Linked DNA regions of Schizosaccharomyces pombe. The protein of the gene in region 1 binds, or shares a complex with, the protein of each later gene. Each region holds a gene or a part of one and is shown in the gene's direction. Other genes may lie near its edges.

What was found.
Region 2: cog8 (region 1) and cog2 share a complex: the UniProt entries of both Schizosaccharomyces pombe proteins name them as parts of the conserved oligomeric Golgi complex.
Region 3: cog8 (region 1) and cog4 share a complex: the UniProt entries of both Schizosaccharomyces pombe proteins name them as parts of the conserved oligomeric Golgi complex.

The regions. Positions count from the first base shown.
Region 1 is NC_003423.3:1,486,360-1,493,197, forward strand, and holds cog8 (COG complex subunit Cog8), read left to right. Parts: upstream 1-4,080; 5' UTR 4,081-4,251; coding exon 4,252-5,388; 3' UTR 5,389-5,595; downstream 5,596-6,838. Other genes in the region: mannosyltransferase complex subunit Alg2, read left to right, coding at 1-41, 113-566, 715-1,579; bifunctional histidinol-phosphate aminotransferase/imidazole acetol phosphate transaminase His3, read right to left, coding at 1,852-2,314, 2,374-2,985, 3,171-3,182, 3,238-3,305; mrps28 (mitochondrial 37S ribosomal protein uS15m), read right to left, coding at 5,596-6,462; random septum position protein, DNAJ domain protein Rsp1, read right to left, coding at 6,710-6,838. UniProt on the Schizosaccharomyces pombe protein: Required for normal Golgi function.
Region 2 is NC_003423.3:853,026-862,640, reverse strand, and holds cog2 (COG complex subunit Cog2), read left to right. Parts: upstream 1-4,312; 5' UTR 4,313-4,421; coding exon 4,422-4,736; intron 4,737-4,798; coding exon 4,799-4,879; intron 4,880-4,930; coding exon 4,931-5,110; 3' UTR 5,111-5,248; coding exon of another isoform or gene 5,249-9,010; 3' UTR 9,011-9,115; downstream 9,116-9,615. Other genes in the region: phosphatidic acid transfer protein Ups2, read right to left, coding at 856-1,410; U2 snRNP-associated protein sap61, read right to left, coding at 2,568-2,701, 2,757-3,901, 3,954-4,153; elp1 (elongator subunit Iki3), read right to left, coding at 5,249-9,010; spo9 (ER farnesyl pyrophosphate synthetase Erg20), read left to right, coding at 9,404-9,538, 9,588-9,615. UniProt on the Schizosaccharomyces pombe protein: Required for normal Golgi morphology and function.
Region 3 is NC_003421.2:1,350,442-1,357,927, reverse strand, and holds cog4 (COG complex subunit Cog4), read left to right. Parts: upstream 1-3,482; 5' UTR 3,483-3,718; coding exon 3,719-5,935; 3' UTR 5,936-6,454; downstream 6,455-7,486. Other genes in the region: cox5 (cytochrome c oxidase subunit V), read right to left, coding at 1-62; efm2 (methyltransferase Rrg1), read right to left, coding at 691-1,602; proteinase B inhibitor Pbi2, read left to right, coding at 2,419-2,652; ado1 (adenosine kinase), read left to right, coding at 6,844-7,486. UniProt on the Schizosaccharomyces pombe protein: Component of the peripheral membrane COG complex that is involved in intra-Golgi protein trafficking. COG is located at the cis-Golgi, and regulates tethering of retrograde intra-Golgi vesicles and possibly a number of other membrane trafficking events.

The DNA.
Region 1 (6,838 bases):
TCATTGTGATAAAAAACATTGTTTCGAAGAAATACGCGATGGTAGGTGCCTGGAATTGCTAGTTGAGGATTGATGATGGCATTTATATATATCTAACTTTATGAAATAATAGGTACTATAAAGGTAAAGGTATATGGTGATTGGCTTCCTTCTTCTATATTTGGCAGGCTCAGCATTTTCTGCAGCTCTCTCAGACAAGTCTACTTGACGATGATCCTTCTGACGAATTACATGCACTTTGACGCTATTATTGTAGATCAGCTTTCAACATGTGTTCCATTTCTTCTTTTGGCTAGCCAGATGATCCTTTTTTATTGTCATTTTCCTGACAAATATCTTGCTAAACGCGGTGGAATCCTTAAAAAGTTGTATCGTATTCCTTTTGATACGGTTGAAGCAGAGTCTGTTCGACTTGCAGATCGAATTGTTGTTAATAGCAAGTTTACAGCTTCCGTCTTCAAAAAAGCATTTCCAAAAATTCGTAAGCCCCTTCGAATCGTTCATCCTTGCGTTGATATAGAGGCAGCTAGCAAGCCTTTGGAGTTTCAACTCCCTGAAAAAATTCTGTATGTCTTCCTTTAGTGCTTTGAATTTTTACTAACTTTGGAAATATCTTATATCTATGGAATAGAAAGAAACGGAAATCGATTGTCATGAAATGATTTCCCTTTCTACGTTTCCTTTCCATTTGATTATAAGGTATTTACGTTATAGTCAACGAAAGCTTTTAATTTCCGTCAACCGATTTGAAAGGAAGAAGGATATTCGACTTGCAATCGATGCTTTTAGTGCATTGCGCGATCTTTCTGCTAACCGATTTCCTGAATACTTGCTTTTAGTAGCCGGTGGCTACGATATTCGTGTTTCAGAAAATCGTCGATATTTAAAAGAATTGCAGGAATTTTGTGAACAAAAGGATCTTTCTTATACGACTGTAAAAGATAATTGGGATAACATAACTGTTGCTCCTTCTACCAATGTATTGTTTTTATTATCAGTTCCTTCAAAGGTTCGGGATGCTTTAATTTCTTCTTCTAGAATATTGCTCTACACTCCTGAAAATGAACATTTTGGTATTGTCCCTTTGGAAGCCATGCTTCGTAAAGTTCCAGTATTAGCCCAAACGAATGGTGGGCCCTTGGAAACGGTTATAGATGGAAAGAATGGTTGGCTTCGTCCTAGAGACGCGAAAATTTGGGGAAATGTTATATATGAAGCGACTACTAGTACTACATATGATACTGCTGCCATGGGTGAAGCAGGGAGTGAATGGGTGAAGAATGAATTTTCTACAGATGCAATGGCTCGAAAATTCGAATCGGAAATAATGTCTGGAATACGATCAATCACGCCCGAAAAAAGATTAATGAGACGCGTGAATGGACTGTTGGCTGTCTTTGTTCTATTTATGCTATTTTGGGGGACATGCATTATCGCTGCAACTGTTCCCTTCGCCATAATCAAATTGTATTTCGCTCAAACGTATTCAAGCGTAAAACTCGGATTTATGCTAGGAACTTGTATAGTTTCAGTGTCATTTCTAACTTTCACTGTCTATGCAAAGCTAACGAATCTTTAATTCTTTTATTACACGGGTTATAATCCTTTAAATTAGCGTAACTCCTTTACAAAATTAAAAATAACATCTTTTCATTGCTTATCGAACTATACGGAAACACACCAAAAAGGAAGAAAACGTATTTTAATAAAGAAAGAAGGAATGCAAGCGCAATTAGCGAACACAAAATATATTGGGTACATCAGAAAAGAAATGTGACGAGTCCGGAAGGGGAAAGGAAAGAGTTATAATTTGTCTAATTGAAACGTTCTAATAGGCCAGAAAAGGAAACCTCATTTTTTTGTATAGTATTCCTGCAATACAAGTTTAATAGTTTTTAGTAATATCGTATTCTCTTCTTCTGTGCCAACAGTGATACGCAATGCTCCTTCGCAAAGAGGCTCTGTACCTCTAAATCTAACAACGACTTTGTGCATCGTGGCCATTTGTAAATAAAGATATTTTGCGGCATCGTTACTAGGCTTACCTCCTTCTGGTCTATCTAAAACCTGAATGAGGATAAAATTTGCATCATAACCACCTATAATCTTGCCCATTCCTTTAATGGTAGTAAGCTCTTTGCAAAGACGAACTCTTTGCTGTATAATAGCATCTCTATATGTATGCATTTTATCAATCGACTGAGGGGATAAAGCATCCAAAGCTAAACGAGAGGTGGGTTCGCTAATGTTATAAGGAGCCTTTAATGAGTTCATAATGGTAGCAATAGGTTTACTTGTCAAACAAAATCCGATACTAAACATCATAGTTAGTAAAGAAATAATATTAATGCTTAAAAGCTTAGATTAACTTACCGAATTCCTGCTAGACCGAAAGATTTCGAAAGGGTTTGGCAAACAGCAAGGTTTGGATATTCATTGACAAGAGTTAAGGCAGACATATCGGGAGCAGAGAAATCAATATAGGCCTCATCGACGACAACGATTCCATTCCATGTAGGGTGCTCCAAAATCTTCTTAATATCCTCGAGTTTAAGAGCCTTAGCTGTTGGATTACCAGGGGAACAAGCAAAAAAGACTTTGATGGCACTATCTTTAGAAAGTGTTTCGCAAATAGCATCGACGTTCAAATTGAAATCTGGTTCAAGGAGAACCTTAACAACCTCAACATCGTTGATTTTTGCAGAGACCGTATACATTCCGTACGAAGGTGGACACATCAAAATCTTATCTTTTCCAGGAATACAAGAAATGCGAATTAAGGAGTCAATAATTTCATCGCTGCCAACACCCATGCAAATGTTATCTGGTGTTAGTGGCTTGGTAATGGAAAGCTCTTTGTTTCTCAAATCACATAATCTTTGCTTTACTTCGATCTGTCTAGGATCCGGATAACGATTGAATTCCACACCGTCCACGGAAATAACCGAACCATAAGCACATTCATTGGCATCAAGAAGGACACCTCTATTAAGATTAGCAAAAAATATATAGGCGAGAAAAGGGTAAAAAACAACAAAGGCCTGAAATCGCCAGCTCCAACAACAACAGTAAACAGGGAGTACTTCATTGCTTTCCAAGCAGCTAATAAAATATCTTTCTAGAAGTAGCCCTCATATCAATTATTACCCAAATATAAAGATAAAACATACTCAGAGAAGTCACTATATTCTATGTTAATATATATCACGCTTTCTAGTTTATCAAGTTATTACATACTCTCTCGCACAGCGATAAGGCTGAAGTTCTAAGATATTTTTACGAAGACAAGTATTCAAATCAAACATCGTATCTCTTTCGATGTGTTTTTGTTAAAGTAAGAAGAAAGCGATCGATGAGATTAATTAATAATTAACCTAAGATGCAGGTGATATCTATAAATATATAGTGTGTAGCAATGTGAGTCTTTAATTCATTACAACGTGTATCACCGTGTCATTATATCCAATAAATTCAGAAACCTGAAGAGGAAAGAGAAATAAAGCTCCATATGTCTTTCATTTCCAAATACAATTATAAGTGCAATAGTAAAGAAAACGTTGAAAGCTTGATAAAAATTTCGTTACTATACTAATGCTGTAAAGAAAATGCACCATTGTTTACAGTTCGCTGAAATTAAAACACATATTTACTAGACTTTTGCCGTCCGAGAAATAGATATTTGTTACTTAAATTCATAATTCATTACATTTTATGAGGTTGTTTCAATTGCTACATGCTTTTTATCTAGCTATTTTATTTTCACTATACAGGCTGCATAGATGAGGCAGTTCAATCCAGTCTTATTCACAATCTATTTCATTACCTAGGATAACCATTTTGGATTCATAACTTTTTGGCCTACGATTTATGTAAAAGTTAAATAAATTAAATTGTCGCAGCGCTTTTGCTTTATTTTATTCAAAGAAAATGCGAATACTATTGCTCAACCTTTTTTAATTAAATATTGTTTAAATCCTTTAAACAAAACGATCGGAAAATCTAGCCAGTGTTCCAAGATGAAGATGCAAGTTTCTACTCGAGAATGGATCCTTACATTAAGGCTGGTGCTTTCCAACCCTTACTACACATAAGGTACTTATATTCGTAACGCATTCATCCAAACGTGTAGCTCTTTTAGATTCTATTAGTTTCTTTTTTTTAGAAGATAGTTGTGAATGATTTTTTTACGCGTTTTCACTAAGAATTGTTTTGCTGTACAACCTGACTTGAAAGCTTAAAGATCTTGAAGACATGGATAGTATAGGGGATAATGTAACGGAAATGGATGCTTTTGTTCGAGATCTTACTATGAAACCGTATGCAGAACTGGAGAAACGAAAAGCCGAATTGCATGCTCAAAAATTAAAATTGGTGCAAAAACGCCAGCAACTGTTACGAGACAATTACAATGTATTAGTCGATTATGCTAGGAATCAAGATGCCTTTTATCAACTTCTCGAGAACAGTAGACACGATTTTAAAGAGCTTGTTTTACATACAAATCAGCTATATGAACCTGTCAAGAGAAGCCAAAACTTTCTAACTTCAATTTCAGAGCATTACAGAGATGCAAAACTAATGCATCAAGTTCAGCCGCAATTAAGTAGTATACTGGAATTACCAGAGTTGATGAACGCTTGTATCGAAAGGAATTACTTTTCCGAAACGTTGGAATTTCAAGCACTTGCGTATCGATTAAAAGATCGATTTGGTACAAACTCTATCATTCAAGAACTAATTACTCAAGTTGAAACGCTGGTGGTTAAACTTACTGAGAAACTTATTTTACAGCTACAGAAGCCATTAAAGCTTTACTCATTAATCAAAGTAGTGACCTATCTCCGGGTAACTGCAAAACTGTCCGAAGCCCAATTGAAATACGTTTTTCTTTATTTTTCATGGAAACAACTACAAACAAGCCTTCGAAATTTAGTGCCATTGCTTGACTACAATAATCCTGAGTTGTACTTACGGAGATATATACAGGTCATTCGTGATCGCGCATTTTCTCTCCTTTTTCAATATCAAAGTGTATTCGGTGAGTCATCAAATGATCGTTTAAACGCTGCAGGTACAGTAGATATACCTAATTCCACCAGCACTTCAGCGTCACCTTTTGAAATGGATCCCGAAGGCTTCAATAACTTTGGTCAAAATATTCTTTCGTCCTTCGTTCGTAAACTACAACTTGAAATTTGCTATGTCTTACAAAAATTTATGCCCAATGTTAAAGATTCTACTTCCAAATTCTCACTACTCCTTCAGCTTTATTATTGCAATCAAAGCTTAACGAAAGTGGGAACAGACATTTCTATACCACTCTCCAAAATACTTGGTAGCGAATGGTTAGAAATGATCCATTCTCAATCTTCTGAGAAACAGGCGTAGATATATTTTTTCCTAAAAAAAAAAAAACAAATAATTAATTGTTCTTATTACTCATTTTAAGGGTAAGTGCTAAGCCAAAAACTTACTATCCAATAGGTGTAAACAGTAATGATTGATAAGGATGTTTGTTAAACATCTAGTTAAGAGATTAGCATGTGAGAGGGAATTTAACTATATGAAACTTCAAATATAAATTTCGTCAAATTATTACTGCGTGACTTCTCGTAAAACTAATTCGTCCGTAAGGCCAAGATTTTTTATACAATGGACATATCTGTCAAAATTTACTTTCCGTAAATATTTGAGCATCCTTTGACGTTGATGAACATAGTATCGAAGCATCCTTTTTCCAGTTTGATCTTTTTTATGATTCTTGCAATGATCGCTTAACGCTAAAATTCGACTTGTGTAGACAGCAGCTTGTACTTCAGGACTTCCAGTATCTCGCTCATTTCTAGCAAAGGATTCTACAGCAAGCTGTTTATTATTCAACCTTAAGGTCTTAGAATTCGAATTTTCAATATTAAATATACGGTGAATGCTCTCTTTTCTAAGATCGCTTAATTGACTCATCCTTTCTAACCTTTCAGCAAGTGGATGAAGTCGCTCGAATCCATCTTGATTTGATTCCAAAGATGTATCACTAGAAGGAAATTCGTTAACCTCATTAAGCTTTATAAAATCTTTAGTTTCTTCTGTAGCCGAGGCCCTAATCTTTTCAAATTTCTCTACAATAAGATTGATTGTTTCCATTGATGCAGGAAATTTTATACTACGTATAGGAAAATTTGGTTTCTTTCTTTCCACCAATATTTCGTACGGCTTTAATAATCTCGCTATCCATTCACTCGAATGTCCGATGATAGGGTCAGCTAATGTATCCAAATTTTGCTTTCGCAGCTCTTCCCTTCTTTTCAAATTTTGTTTGCGACGTTGGTTGGCTTTTTGTTTTTTTAAACCTTGTAAAATGCATGTTGTATGAAACTGAGACTTTTTGTTTAATAAAAGGCATTGTTGCATCAAGTTTGTAGACGCCAATTTCCAAGGCTGAAAAGCCCCTTCAAAAAGTCTCATCTTAAATTAACTGAGTAATGTAAAATAAAATGAAAAGTCGTGCTACAATTCGCTCCCTGAGTAAGCTATTAAACACATGCCCTTTTTACAAAGTCGTTGGTTCTGGTGTATGCTTGAAGTATGGGTAAGTGAACTGGGTAAAAAATAATATTAATAAATTGAATGTTAAACGTTATGAAGAAGAAATAAAATTTTCAAATAAAAATTTTAATACTAAATTTAATACTTAATGAGGAAATAATAATCATTATATACCAAAAGATGCGAAAAGGCTTTCCTTTAAAGATTGTAGTTCTTCCAAAGCTCTCAAATGCATTTGTTCATATGCATAAAATAACTGTATAGCTTGTGACCCTTCCTTCCAATTATCAATTAA
Region 2 (9,615 bases), 640 kb from region 1:
GTGTCGGTAGCGGTTGGAAGACGGATGAAACTCCGGGACAACACTTTCCGCTTCACTAAAGTTGGCTGGTAAGTATAGGAGACAGGCACTAAAGAGAAAGTCCCGTTCCTTTTATTCAGTACGTTATGGGTAATACTAATAATTGCGAGAGGTTGTACAATTCTCTTTTAGTTTTTAAGAAAACTGGTTCTTGGCCACAAATTCTACAGATTTCGTATTACACTTAAATGCGAATTGCACATGAATGCAAAATGTATTAATTGTATAATTCAAGCAATGATAATTTAGGCGCTTGTTATATGAATGTTATTATATTAACTAAATTTTAAAAAAAAAAAAGGAGTGGATGTCCAATCTTGTTTTGTAAAACAGATATTGCATTTAAGAAAGAATAAACCTTTTAATTTTCAGATAGATGATTTGAAAGCAGCCTATTCCATGGGGAGAAAGAAGCAAGCGATTAACATAGCGCATCATCATTTGTGCATTCACGATTTTTTGGGGAAATAGACGATTAAATTAATGGTATAAAAGTTGTAAACACACATGTTTGGAAAAAGCTTATAAGTCGTATTGGTCAAAAATATGACACACATTTTGTTTTAAAAACAACAAACATCTTTGAGCGTAGACATAGATAATGGTCAATCAACTTGAAGAAGTTTTTAATTAAAAGAACGAGAATAGAAGAGAGGGGATCAAAAATAGGTTAGAGGAGTAATATTACGAGAAACAGAAAACTAAAAGACGACTTATTGCAACATTTCGCAAGCCAACTGACGGAGAAAAGATTATTTCGTAACCGATAACTTTAAACTTTTGAAAAAAGAGAGAGGTTGAATCAAGAAACAAAGTCTATGCGGTCGCTTCAGAAGAACCAAACGGTCGCGTTTGGAATACAGACATGTTTATTTTTTCTAAAACACTTTCGAAGCCTTCTTTTCCACGGGAAGCTTTCTTTCCAAAACCATCAACCGACCATTGTTCGATCAGGTTTGACAACCGCTTCATACACGCTAAGGCTTCAATTCGAGCCTCCTGTTGAAAAACAGTAGCTTCCAGTTCAGGATGGGGTGAGTAAGTCACCGTCTCATCTACTCTCAAACGATCACTAAACGTCAAGTTTGAGGTTAAAAGTGTTAAAGTGCGCGCTTTCAAGTCAACATAGCTAGTTTCTCGAATATAACAATCTTGCGCACCGTCAATCAATTTTAAAATCCATCTAGGAAGGGCCTGGTGACACGTGATCAAGCGTTCCGTATACAATACACCATTATCCAAAACCTTGCGATCAAGAGTATCCACGGCTATCACATGAGTAGCATGCTCATTGGGATACTTCTGCCAGTGAGCCGCTGAAACTTGTTCAAAAGGATATTGAAATAAGTGGCAACTTTCAAAAATCTTCATTTAGGATACCTAAATTTTATGAAATTTTACGTGAACTAAGTAAAAAAAAAAGAATGAATGACCCTTTTAAATCAAAAAAGTTAGCTAACTTCTTTTAGCTATTAACTTTTGTCTCTCAAGAACTAAGAAAACCAAAAGTTTCTTTCTGGGCCGCTCGTAAGATTTTTCTTTAATTTTTTTCTGAGGTAAGATCTACTAACTGATGCACCTTTACTTTTCGAGTTTGTTTTAAATTGAAATCAGCCCGTAAGTAAAATATGCTTTTTTTGGGATCTTTAACTAATGTACAATTTCTTAGTGTATGGTTTTTTTTATGTACAGAGCAGTGGAGCGGAACTATTTTTATATGCGGTTTTCTGGTTGGCGGGACAAAGGAGCTCCAATAATTAACCATTTTTACTTAAACTATAGCCATAAGCGAATCAATGCATTTGGTGGAGGTGGGGTACGACAGAGGATATGCATCGCACTTTTTATAAGGTTGTAGTTTACGATGCACTATATATAATAACGCACCAAAGCGGAATAAGGCCTATATTATACTAATGGGTTTTTAAAAGTGTCATTTAATTATGTTTATGGATAAAAGATATATAGAAATTTATATAAAATATGTACTTTATGTATTAACAACACTATCTCTTATGAAGGAGTTGGATTTGGTTTCTAGCTGAAATAATTCTTATTTGTTTTAGTTTTTTTTTTTTTTAATACGGTGATAATGCACAAGACTCATTGTTTTATTATGCTTGAGAAAATTATAGCATTTGCTACATCAAACACTAACTAGCCCGTAGAAGCGTATACGTAAAAGATAACAGAACTCTAGAATTTCAATCAAACCCAACTGGGCCTTAGATCGTCAAAATGCCGGGAGGAGATCTATCGTTGAGCAGTGCTATGAGAAACTATCAAAAATTTCGCAATCAAAAAGAAAGGGGGGAAATAAAAGATCAAAACATGCTGTGTCACGAGAATTCAAAATAGTATGCCTTTTAGCTTTCATGTTTTCTCTTTTCGTTTGCTTCGGTATGTAACGCAAAGAAGAATAAAGGAGCATGCTCAGCATTTTATAACTCAAGTAGGAAGAAAATATCAATTTTTTATTTCTTTAATGTACACTTACACGACTACAAAAATTGAGTCATGTACGTTATTTATAATAAACCTTGGGCCTTTAAATCGTTGTAAACCTTTTCAGACATCACATTACCTTCGTCATCTTCCATTTCATTGAGAGACGCCATTGTGGTTTCCCGCTTCTTTGAGTCCACCTTGTACTTTTGCCAAACTAAAAATTTTCGTTAGTAACATAAACTCACCAAATACAATCATTTTTTTCTTACGTTGCAAAGCTTCATCAATAGAAGTAATCTGATTGAATAAAGGTGAAGGTGATATTCCTAAACATTTTAACCCGTATATGTGCCTTTGTTCAGTAAAGTGTTTATCAAATGCCTTTCTACCCATATACACGTAATTTCCACAAATTTCACAGGGAAACTCTTTACCAAGGCCATGGAGTTTCCAAAGCCAGAATGGAATAGGTTTACCATCCCATCCCAATGGCAGCTTCAAAGGGTTATATATCTTTTCCTCATCATCCTGATCACTTTCCTCATCCTGATTTCCCTCAACACTTACGCTTGGAGTCGATTGTTCAAAGGCTTCTCTTTCCGCAGCCTCTACTTCTGCCAAACGTTCTGCAGCCGTCAAAGTTTGTCGACGAACAACATTTTCACGAGTATCCTTTCGAACATCGTCAAGCAAAGACGTTAACTTTTTTATTAAAAACTCGATACGGGCAATCGCTTTAGGTCCTTTTTGCTTCTCGTTCGTATTACTTGTGGTAGATGGACTAGAAGACTGCATCCTCTTAACGGCCTTATTATGTGCTTTGCTCTTTTTGTGAGCTTCAAATACAGTGATCTTCCCAAAAAACTTTTGACAAACTTCACAATAAAATGCTTCCGTCGAGTCTTTCCCATCTTTTTCGGCTTCAGCGTTGTGTGAATACCAACCAGGAAGTCCAGCTTCCCATGCTGCGTCGAATTCAGTATCAAAAACCGCAATAATCTTATCCAAGTTTGACAGAGGGTGTGTCCGGCGATAAAAGGACACCAAGTATTCGTATAAATGAGTTATATAGTTGATATATGTTTGATTTTTTTCAGGCTTGGGGATTTGATCAAAATCCTCCAAATTTTTCAAATATTCTAAGTAAGAAATATGCTGTACATTGCTTAAGTTTATATATTCTTCGTAACATTCGTTAAGATCCATAAATCGACCATACATCTCTTCACCTCGAAATAACGTGTCAATCTCGTCAATCCCGGGTTGAGAAGGCTTTATGGAATATAATTGACTCAGATCCTCAACTTTATGATCAGGATATTTTTTGTGAAACTCTTGGATCTCTCCCAGCGATTTATAAAACTCTGTTAAATCATCGTCTGCATTGATACGCGCAACTTCTTGATCCTTTAATCTAGCGAATTCAAGTTAGCGGTCAATACTACAATTTTCTTGATTTTACTTACCGATCAGAGGATTCATGGGAAACTAACAACTTTTTGCTAGTTTCGCGAAATTGGTTAAGAAATTGTGCACTCTGATGCTCAAGCCGAAGCCGTTCACGAGGAGCCTTAGGGTTGGCAACTTGTCTATCAACAATAGCTTGTTGCAGCCTTTCTAGCTCTTCGTGCGCGTACCTTTCAGTCTCGAGCACGCTTTCTGACATTTGTAAAGTTTTAACTTAATTTACTGGTGTTTAGAAGAATTTATGCTGCAATTGCTTCGCTAGAGTAATACGTTGAGTTGCACTAAATCAACATGCATGTAGTGTCTAACAACATAATCATTTACTATATATCCATCGTTGTTTGCATATTAGTCCATCATCGTGCTGTTCTACTAATCGAAATTCATCTTCCATGATTTACTAGAGATGGTAGTAGATTTGTACTTCAAAGTTCTACATTAACGATCGTGCATTTTCCTTATTTACCATGACTGAAAAAGACGCAGATAGTGGTTCTGACTTGGTTGACGCGTTTTTATCGGATGCTTATTTAAACACAGAAGAACTTCGTAAAGATGGACCGTTTTCACCCGATGAATTTCTTGTTTCCAAAAGATTTTTAGGTCTTGATGGTTTAGTAAATGAATTAAGTCGACTGTTTGAGCAGGTCAATAATGAATTAATGCTACTAGTAAAAGATAACTACCAAGATTTTGTTCACCTTGGAAGCAGAATGAAGAGCGGAAATACTAAAGTTAGTACCCTGATTTCTTCAATACATCGTTCAGAAGAGCAATTAAAGGTAATACAAATAACTACAAACACTATATTTTTAGTTTCAGTCTACTAACAGTTCGCTTAAAGAATTCGAAGCAATCCTTAATCGGGCATTCAACTGAAATTCAAAATAATTTGAAGCACAAACAAGACGTTGAAAACGAAAAGGTAAAATAACGCAAGTCCCAAATAAGTTGGTCATTATGCTAATACATCTAGCTAATTGCTTCTAATTTGCTTTTACTTGACCAAATATTAAAATTCCTCAAAAGTAATGATTCATCACATCCACTTTGGCTTGAAAGTCTTAACAATGCTCAACGTTTATGTGATACATATAAAGATCATCCATGGGTACAATCTATTTCACCTACTCTAATTAACTACATTAAGCATTAGTGTTTAACAGTTTCTGCTTAACTATTTTGTTCCAGGATTTACGTATCTAAGCTTTTGTATAAATATTGAAGATATACTAAATGTAAATCTATATGTAAATGAAAAAATTTCCCCATTTATCCAAAACCAATCCTAACCCTATATTAAAATACTCAATTTTTCAAAAGGTTTAACGTTTGGAACAACCGGTGCTTGTGGTTGTTCTCCAAGAGCAGTCTCAAAGGTGCTAACAGGAACAGAAAGAATGGGAATAACTTTCTCACCAATAGTACCTATAACATTTGCAAAATTACGTTGAAGTTCTGAAGCCTGGGTGGTCATATTACAGCGTACTAGTGCTTCGAGCAAACGATGCACCTCAGGTCGAATTTCTTCAACACGAGCGATCAACCTCCGTAAGGAATTGACAAGGTACTCTTCTTCGAATACTGTTCCCTTTTTTCCTCTCGCGCGTTTTCTCTCTAAACGTCGGTTGTTCTTTGACGTGTTTCTTGTCATTTTAGACGAGTTGCTACTCTTGGTGTATTGCGTATATAAAGACCTGTTTGTTGAGAGACTTGTAGATGCTAGTGAGATGTCATCAGGCGTTTGGTCCTCCATAGTCCCCTCCATCCAACTAATAGGATCTTCTTTTTTCTTCTCTCTAAGCACTAATATTCTTTCGGTTTGTGACTTGATTTGGTTTCTAAAGTCGGCAACCAATTCACTAGCTTCACCAAATGACTCCCCAAGAACGGAAATTAGTAAGTCCTTATATATAGATGAATCACCGGTGGCGCGAGCAATCCGAATCGCTTCAGAATATTGTGAACCTTTGCACATTTGAATGACTGCCTCTCTTGGATTCGAAAGGTATAGTAAGTTGATGCTACCTGCATCACAATGTTCCCGTTTCTCAATACACAAGCTAGCCAAATCTTCAGCAGTTTCCCGGATTAAATCTTCTGAATTTGTAGTCTGCTGTAAAATGGACAAGCATTCCCTCCACATTCCGGCGCTTTTATACGCCTCGATGGCTTCACTGATCTTTCCAACAGATTCATAAGCAATTGCAGCTTCGTTTGATTTACCATTTTCTCGAAGGTATTGTGCAAATATAATTAAAACCTCCTTTTGAGCTTCCTTGTCATACTTGTATAACTCTAATGCTCGAGGGTACAGCTTATGTTGAATAGTAAAGTTTTTGAATTCATCAAACGCATTTTCCATTTCCTTTAGATGTCCTAGTGCTCGCTCATACCGCTTCAGATAACAATCTATATTAAACTTCCTGCGAAGTGATTCCTGTTTTTGAAATTCATGTAAAAATGGGACATATTCACGAGGATCTTTTTGAGACTGCTGGGCAATTAAAAGGGCTAATTTTAGATCATACAGCCCTAATGCATGATCAAATAACATATTGACGTCGACCAAGAAGCACATGTGCTCGATTGCCAGATCTACGGTTTCAGACTGAGCCTTAATTAGTCCAGATATCATGCCTAAAGCTGCTTCAATTTTTGGAGGGCTTTCGCAAAGATAGGAAGTAATTATTGCTTGAAAATGTGTATCACCGTATTTTGAAGTCAGATGTTCGCGAATAATCTTGCACAATAAATTAACTTTATTGTCAATGGTAGTGACAGATTGCTGAGACTGTGACTTGGATGTATCACTGTACATCCCTGTAGTAACGTTTTCAGGCTTTAAAGAAGTGAGAAACAAGTCTAAATAATCGACACGGTACAGCCCATCTACAAAAACAGGAATATTTTTCAAAAATAAATCTGGGTCATAATCAAATAGTATATTTAAATCAAGACGATGAGTGCGGCAAACCTTGAAAGCATCACCGTATTTTAAAGCTTTAATATACGTACGTACTCCGTCAAGAACCATAATTCTAGGGTAAATGGTTTCTAAATTTCCTCTAGGCATTTGTAAAACCACTGCCATTTTCGAAGGCATACTGGCAACAATTTTCGACCCTCTTTCAACCACGCGGCATCGCTCATCGTGTCGATCCACAGCATCGTCTTCTACAACTTGCAGATCATCAACGGTAGAAACCAAGTGTACAAATTTAAGTAGATTTTTAGTTGTTGTAAATAATACAAATCTTTCGGTGCAGAAAAACGATAAGACGCCTGTGCTCAATAGTCTTTGCTCAGCATACAACCTGCCATACGAAGTGAGACCTATAGGAACAAAGGTTTCATGGACAGGAACTACAACAAAATCAGAACAGGGTTTGGGAAACGACAAAGAAATGGATTCAATTGATTTTACATTCAAATTGTAACTTATAAGTTTTCCACTTGAAGTTTGAAAAAATAGCATTTCCGAACAGTAGGAGGCATTAAGTATGCAACTTTCGAAACTTTCGGAAGCCAAAAGTTTCAAGGACTCATTGTCTTCGTCACATTGAAAAACAAAAAACTTTGAACAGTTATTTGTGCCATCTGCCAACAACAGAACCTGATTTCCTGATAAACCAAGAAGACTTTTAAAATTCAGACCTTCAGCATACGTCGAGATATCGAATTCTCCAAATTTAGCAATATCTTCTTGTGAGTTAAAAGTAAACGCCGTCAAGCGCCTATCATCAGCAGCAAAAAGCATGTCAGATGTTGCGTTTATCGAAGTCATTTGTACATTATAGTCTAAAGACAATTTATAACGACACATAGGAGGGGGAATATTACACAAAGACAACGGTGTGACCAACAGCGAAGAGCCATCGATGACAGGTATGAGGCCAAAATCGTTTGGAGAAGTAGAAAATTCTGTTACATATTTGAGGTCAAAAACCACTTTTTCTATGTGATTTTTTCCAGTTATGTAAAGCGTATTGGCATGCTCTGGATGCCAACTAATTAATGCATTTTGAGGAATGTTGATTTCTTTCTTTAAATACCAATGATAATTACCGGTTGTCCAAAGCATCACTGAATTTTCGGTCGAAACGGCCAGAATTGATGATGAAACATTCCAAGCCAATCCAGTATACTTTTCGTCTTCCCTTCGACGTAACGAAAATTCTCCATGACGGAGTCCATTGCGTTCAAAAAAGATGACTTTAGAGGAATTATCGGAACTATCTGACTTAATTGTTGCTAAAACGGATCCAGATGGTTTCCATGAAAGCAAACTTTGTTGCCCATCTTGTGGCTCACTAATACTATCCAACAAACCTTCACGAGAATAAACACGAATAGCACGACGTGGTCCCTTTTCCAGACGGTTTATAGAAACATACTGACTATCACCACGCCAGCAAATATAAGTTTTGCCATCGTCAACATCAGAAAGTTTACCCTCATCTATTTTCTCAGGAAGCGTAGGATCTCGTAATTTAGCACGAACTCGTTTTCCTCGAAACTGGGTTTCAGAACGACCCCAACCAACAGAAATATGCTTATTAAATTCATTCAAATCCGCATCAGATAGAGAAGTTTCTGAAATGATATCAAAATTTTTAGTCATAAACAAAATAGTATCTCCACCCGTTATGATACAAAAAACCTGTTCATCAGTTGACCAACATGAAGCAACAATGCCATTCTCAACATTGCCAATTATTTCCCAAGGCGCTTCCTCAGGCGATGGGTCTACTTTTACCATCACAATGTCACCTCCTTTCAATGATAAACATATAGCCATGGGTTCTCCAAGAAACTGCATGCTTTGAATCTCATCAATGTCCCCATTATCTGAAACGAAAGAGGGAGAATCAAATTCAACTAATTTTGAGACATCGTCATTTTCAGATATTTCATATATCTCGATCCCAGGATTCTCATTATCCAAACCACAAACCACGTAAATTTTATCACTTATACTGTTAAAAGCCAAGGCTTTAATTGAGCCATTTACATTTGGAAAAACATGATGCAGGTGTGTTACCAAATTTTTCATGGTGTGTGTGCTATTGCTGGTGAAGCATCATGAACGCCAGTAATCCTCAATTTTGCGTTGCGAGCGCGAAGGCAATATGGTTTGCCCTCACCACCAAAGGAGTCCTAAATCTATATTTCTACTAAACTTTAAGCATTAGATAAACATCCTAATTGTCTTGAAAATTTAGGACCAAATAGATGTTTCAAATAAGTATAGTGTTTTTGATCGATATACTTGATTCTTAAAAACGAGATAAATTTGTAACGCGCTTTCACGCGTAATTTGCAAATTTTATATTCAAGAATTGTGGTTATTTGTCATTTTAAATAATATTTTCTCATAGAAGACCTGTGCTAGTTCTCAGTCTTATACCAAGCTGGTTCTTATACATGTACAATTAAAAATACTAAAATGGTCAACGATTTTAATGAAAAAAATGGCATTAAGAAAAGACTTCTAGATTTCTTCCCAGTCGTTCTCGAAGGAATTCGTGAAATCTTAGAAAGCATGCAATACTTCCCCGAAGAAACCGAGAAGCTGTTATATGTAAGTTGATTATCTTGCCTTTATAACGCGACAGCTAACCTTCATTTAGTCCATAAAGAGAAATACGTTAGGAGGAA
Region 3 (7,486 bases), on another chromosome or scaffold:
GCATTGCGAGTGCAGAGAAGCTTCATTGGCACTTTTTTGCAGATAATTTTTGAAAGATACATAATTATTAGCTTAATTCAATAATTTAATGCTAAAAAGATCGAATTATAGAGAGAGGGGGAATTTGGGTGTGTAAGGAAGAAGGCCAACGCCAATCCTCGGGAGTCCCATTGGCACACTGTCGGAGAAATTAGGGTAGGGTTTAGCTTCGCATGCTGATTAAAGATCGAAAGTACGAAGGGTAAGTGAAATGTTTATGGTTAATTCTACTTTCTAATTTCTAGTCCTCCGTTTGAATTTGTAGAAAATAACTATGAAAGCTCATAGAGACGAAACGATACTAATGTGTTGCTTTGAATGAACGCGGAAGGATAAAAAAGTATTTACAAGAAAACAATCGGTAACTTTCTCAAATAGATTTTCTACTAAACCGTAATTCAGTATCGATGTCCTGTTGATCTAAACCAACCTACGCAATTTCGTTCCTCTAAACAGAAAAAAGCGGGCTCAAAAAGCCAGCTTTAAAACCAAAAGTGATTCCCTTTGATACTGTAAATAATACAAAAGAATCTATTGCTTTGCTATTAAAATCTAAAATTATTCAAACAAGGAAAAAATAAAACCCAATTATTTTGGCTCGCTTTTTCTAGTTTGCAACATGGTTTGACCTATAGATTGATACATTTTAAGTTATCCATGGTATTTCCATCTACTCCAACGACAAGTTACTGGGTATAGAGAGCCAAAGTCTTCTTCACCAATTTCTTCTCCCATTTGTCTTTCAAATCCGGCGGCGTCCATTCCCTTTTCAAACACACCTATTTCTTCCAAATGTGTTTCGCGAAGTGGATACTCTGTGATAACAATCCCGTCCTTAGCTAAATATTTACGAAACAGTGCAATGGCTAACTCGCCGAAATGAGTTTCATAGATACAATCACTTGCTATAATCCGTTGAAATGGTTTAATAAGCCATGATGGTCGGTTATCATCATCTGGGGGATTCATCCAATCTAATACATGACAGCTTACTGAACCCGCATATTGCTGGATAAGTTCAGAATTGTAATCAACGTTATACTGCATATTTTCTACTATATCTGGTAGATCTGTACATACAACTTGCCATCCTAATTGAATGGCTGCACTAATGCCAACAAGCCCAGTCCCAGCCCCTAATTCTAGCGCGTTAATGGAATTACTCAAATCTTCCCATTTGGGAAGATTTGCTGAAAGCAAGGGAGCAGACCCCCATGTTTTAAATCCTAAAGTATTATAGGTCATAGTGGGCTCTCGAAGAACTACAGAAACACCATTTGAAAGGGAAAATTCCCTCTTCCTAGTAGGAGCTGCAAGTCTACCACTACGCTCTGCAATTCGTTCACAAATCGTGCTAACCAAATAGTCTCGTTCCTCTTCAACTGTGATCCATTCCAAATTTGTAGCTAAGAGCTTGATAAGCCAATTGAGGATTATTTTCTCCTCATACTTAGGAAGGTCCCACAAGTGCTCCCCAGTAGGAATTTTGTCCAAAACATCTTTAATTTGAGAGTAAGAAGGCTGTTCGTGACTTAAAGGTAGATCCGTGTCTTCTAAAATCATTGTGATTTTTTTAAAATACCCAAAACCAGAGACGAAAAAGCAAAAACAAAAGAAATCCCAAAGACCCAAAAAAGACAGGAGTCAACCTGTTTTCCTTTGCAAACCAGCTAAATTTTAAACAAATGAGAATCCCAATTAACTACCTATGTGAGAGTATGCGTGAGAGACATACTATGATTAAGTATGGATAAAACGAAATTTCTCTCTTTACCATCCATGAGTCCAACTTTTCAAATTAGATCAAAGCTAGGTAACATGTACCTCGCAGGAGTGAAATCACGGTGTTGATCAAAAAGCAAGAAGCAATTTAAAAGCACTGGTTATTAAAGCATCTAATTTCTCAATTTCATTCTCACTCAACCGCCTATCCCAAAAATACAACTCAATTCCAATGGATGTATGTCTTTTCCAGACCGCGTTGTCTACACTGCGTGAAAAAAAGGAATAATGAGGAATATTGTGTCCCTATATGCAAATGCAATAGCCTTCTCAATGTACAATACGAAAATGTAATATATATTTTGTTATTTATTTTACCAAAGTTCTTTTGACTTTCGTTAAAAAGTATACTGAAAGAGAAAGAGCTAATAAATTGGCTAAGCAAGCAATGTGCACAACCGTTCTATTTAGATAAGCTGACCTACGTAATGCACATGGCGAATGCTATATAAACCAGCCTTTTCCCCTTTGCGCTCAATTCCTTCTTATCTGTACTACATAAGCTTGTTCATTTTTTGACAATTAAGTGAATTTTAAGTACAGCTAAAAAATCTGAAACGCTACTTTCCTTGTTTTTTTCGCCTTCGTTATTTCGCCATGAGTCAAAAGTCGTATATCGTTCAATTGAAAGATTCTGTTGATCCTGCATCGATGGATAAAATAAAATCTGATTTAGAGGCATCTGGTGCTAAAATTGGTCATACTTATGATACCGTATTTAAGGGATTCAGCGTTTCTCTTCCTGAGAATGCAGTAGATGCTTTGTCTGCTCATCCTGAAATTCAACATTTTGAGCCTGACCAAGAGATGCATACTATGAAGAAGGATTAGATTTCTCTCCTTACAGAAAGTTTCGCCTCCATATCAATTGCTTATAGTTGAGCTCGTCACTCGTCGCACGCATGCGTTTCTACACTCAAGTACTTTATGACATTTCATATACATCGTTATGATCAAACAAATACCAATTGTTAATTTGATGATTTTTTTTAGAATTAATTAGTAGGTCGGTCGCGTTTTACCATTTCTTTGTGTCGACCAATTCGACCGTAAAATAGTACACACATTTTTGTAATGTCTTAGTAATATTCGCTTCCCAGTAGTAACTTCCATAAAGATCTAGTTGTTTGGACGAGGAGAGGAATATTGGTACAGCAGTGGGAAATCGAGTAAAGGATTCAAGGTGAAAATAAATAAATAAAGAAAAAGAGAAGCAATTCTTAGAAGGGGGTATACATGAGTATGTTTTAGGTAGAACTGAGATGTTTAACATAGACTACCTTCTTTGTGAGTTGTTGTTTGGCCATCACATTGGTGACAAATATGCTGAAATTTCGAAAAACATGGATTTGTATTTAACAACGAGGCGTAGCAGAAAACCGTAAATTTTTAAAATACAGCTTTTGGAAATTGCTCTTCCATGACTTTTTATTACAGTTGTACTATAAGAATGAATGATTGCACAACAAAATATACTCTCCTATATTTCCTGCCTCACATCAAACATTTAAAGAACAACAGCGAACTCTCGCTATTAGAGTCTGCGATGTTGCGTTCTGTCAAATAATGATATTTATCGTCTCGTTAATTATTAGTTACTGGAATAGTATGATATCGTAAAGTTGACCATTTGCAATGCACTCAGTAACTCTTTTTTTAGTAGGAGTCAATTGTGCGGCATTTGGCAAGTTGAATGGGAGACGTTGCAAGGTTTACTAATTTATTTAAAAATTAATTAATTCGAAAATCAACTGACGACAACCCTTACTTTGGTTTCTTTCACTCTTACTTTGAGTTTTTTAATTGTTATTTTGCGCGGTTAATATTCACAACCTCGTAGATTTTTTGAGATAATTTGCGAACGCGTTTTAGTCTTTCTTTATTTAATGAGTGTACAATGGACATATCCATCAATGACTGCACTGATATCTCGCAAATTAAACAACGGTTTCATGACTTACAAGTCGAATCCCAACGAACCGACGAAAAGCTGGAAAGGCTGCTAAGCGATGCACAGCCGACTGAGAAGTTCAATTCTTTAATCAAGAATATGGCAGAACGTCTAGTGCTGTTTGTAGGTCAGATTGAAGAGCTTAAAGATGCTTTTTGCAATACCACTATCGTTAGCGAGGAGGTCATTGAGAGAATCAAATCGGTCGATAGAGAACAGAATCGTATAAAAGAGTGTCTTTTATTTGTTCGTCAAGTCCGAGATTTCAAAGAATGTTTGCAGGATCTCAACAGAGCTATGCATCACCAACAATGGGAAAAAGCAGCTGATTTAGTACATCGAGCAAGCTCCACATCGCCGGCTATCATCGAAGGGAAATTTGCACATGCCGTTGTTCCCACAGCTGAGCAACCTTTAGCGCCCATGGACACCTTAAAAGAAATCACCGAATCTCTACACACTCTCTTTTGGCGGGAATTCCATAAGGCCGCCCGAAATCAGGATCAAAAAGAAATCACTCGTTACTTCAAACTCTTCCCTTTGATCGGCAAAGAAAAGGAAGGATTAGAAGCTTATTGGCATTTTTTTGGTGGAATTATTGCTTCTAAAGCTAGGGCCACTCTCGATGAGCCCCCTACTCATGCTCTTTTTTTTGCACAGGCATTTACCGGACTGGTCGAGCATGTTGCTTCTATCATACGCGCACATACGCCTCTTGTTCAAAAATATTACAAGGCCAAAAACACCATCACCGTTATTGAAAAATTGCAAGGTGATTGTGATCGCCAAGGTTCCATTATCGTGAATACCATGTTTGACGTGAGAAGAATTGATAACCTCGTAAGCTCTATAGCTTCTTACAAATACATTTTGTTACATGCGAAGTTGAAAAATCGTGCCTTTGTTTCGGATCAAAAGGAATTAGAAAGGGTCTCTCTTCAAACGCTACATCCGATTTTGAATGAAATGTCAGCCATTGTCTCCAAATGGAATATCTCAAAAATATTTATTAGCCGTCTTGTCCTTCGATTGTCCCAATCTGATGGTACTTCGAATGATCCATCTGTCCAGGACAATCTTATTTGTGCATCTATTTTCAATTCTTCAAAGATGGAACTTCTGTTAAAAAAGCAACTTCTTCCATCCTTATTACAATTAGAAACATACTATTTCAGGAGAAGTATAGAAACGTCTTTGGAACTTGAGGAATATTACACAAAGGTTTCCCCATGGATGAGCTCTATTGTAGACGATGTCATGTACGTTACGAAGCAAGTATTCCAACGTGCGTTTTTTACAGTCTCCTCTTTATTCTTCACCAGATTTGTTAACGAAAGCTTAATCCCTATTTTAAGAAATGATTACTATGTCTACCTTTCCCATAATCTTTTAACTGTCTGTAACATTATAAAAGCTCAGTTCCAGAGGCTAAAGAATGCAAATAGCATTCCCGCCAAACAAGTCGAAAACTACATAACATTGGTAAATAGTGCTTCACTCAGCAAGCAATATCTAAAATCAATTGTGGATGGTGTTTCTAGTCGGTTGGAAGAAGTTTTTGCCTTTGCCAAAGACCAAAAATTGGTAAAGAAATCGATTGATAATTTTTTGCAGCTAACCGTTAATTTTGAAAATCTTTGCAAGACTTCTTTCAACATGTACTTTCCGATATTTTTATTACCCCGAATTGAGCAATGCATCGATGATTCCTTTGATGGAATCAACTATGTCTTGTCCTATGAAGACTATACGAAGGAGACAGAACATGAAAGACTGGTAGTTACCCGTCTTCGCAGCGTTTGGGACAGGGTTTTGTTGCTGGAGCAATTTACTCCTGAAAATCAGCTTTCTTTACGCTCTATGGCATGCGAGAAAGCTGCAAGTTATATAGAAAACCTCATACTATATAAGATTCAGTGGAATGATTATGGTGCTATGGCATTAGAAAACGACATTTCTAGCTTAATTACTATCTTTTCCAATGATCAAGCTAATCTCCGACATAGCTTTGAGCGTTTGCAAGAAATTCTAATCTTATTAGTATGGGAAAGTGATTCTACAGCCCCAGAGCAATTGATCAACGATTTAAACCTACAGCTACTATCCATAGATATTGTTAGCGCTATTATGGAAAAGAAAGCGAATGTTCAAGGTGAAGATTAACGACCTTTTTTATTCAGGATATTTGAAGAAGCACCAAAAGTTCTTTAGTTGTAATCTCCTGTCATATCCTAAATTTATCCTAAAAAACGGCGGATCATCGTCTCCACGTTTAGCATGATGCCGATATCTATTTTTTTTTCACTCTATTTTTGTTTTTATTTCTTTATTCGTATATTGAAAATTTTGACAACCGGCTACCCTGACGCAGTGCAACTCGATCATCATTTATCTTAGTTTATTATTTCTTCCACACTTTGATAAGTTTTCCGCTAAAAGTTGAAGCAACCCCTTTGTTAAAAAAATAATACAGGAATGGAGTTAATATTCATGACCAATTGTATATAGCATCAAATATCGACTCTTTTAATCTTTATTAGTTCTAATTTTTCTCGTGATCGGCCTTCTTAAATAAGTATTGTGATTATAATATACCGAGGCGCAAAGGAGTGTGATACAGTTTATATCGTTTAATTATGCAGTTTGCAATCAGTTTAATGAAGGTTAAAATTGCGATGAGTATTAGTTGTGACCTAGAATTCCAGTATACAGGTACAATAAGTAACATACACTGTCAATCTTCAGTTACATAGTATTATATTTTTCACCAATATAGCTAATAACTGAAATTGAGGATGCTTGTACAGTTATGCTTATATTGATAATTTTTTTAGCTGCTCAAATTTTAATAGTTTATTAAAAATAGTATGCCTTTACCATACAATATATAGCGAAAGATAAACAGACCATATGGCATGTATCGATATTTAACGCAGTATAGTATTAATAATATAACGCATTACAATTATGCCATAATATCGCTCTTTGAACATTAAGATACTTTACCTGTTGGTGTATTTTCTCGTGGTTTTTCTTTAACTTTTTCCCTTCCCTTACTACAATCATTTATCATGTCTTCATACATCTTGTTTGGTTTGGAAAACCCTCTGTTGGATTACTATGTTGGTGGTGAAACTGCAACTCTTGAAAAGTATGGCTTGAAGAGCAACGACGCCGTCTTAGCTTCTGAGAGCCAGATGGGTATCTACAAGGAGCCATGCGTTAGCTACAGTGCCGGTGGTGCAGCTCAAAACAGCTGCCGTGCTGCTCAATACGTACTTCCTCCTAACTCTACTGTTTTCGCCGGCTGCGTTGGTCAAGATAAGTTTGCTGATATGCTTCTTGAATCGAACGAAAAAGCTGGATTACGATCTGAGTTTTCTGTTGATCCCACTACACCTACTGGTGTTTGTGCTGTCGTCTTGAGCAACAACAATAAAAATCGCTCCCTTTGTACCAACTTGGGAGCTGCTAACAACTACAAGCTCAAGGACTTGCAACAGCCGAATGTATGGAAGTTCGTTGAGGAAGCAAAGGTTATTTACGTCGGTGGTTTTCACTTGACCGTCAGTCCCGAATCCATGTTATGTTTAGCTCAACATGCTAATGAGAATAACAAGCCCTATATCATGAATCTTAGCGCTCCTTTCCTCTCTCAATTTTTCAAGGAGCAAATGGATTCCGTTATCCCATATTGTGATTATGTTATTGGCA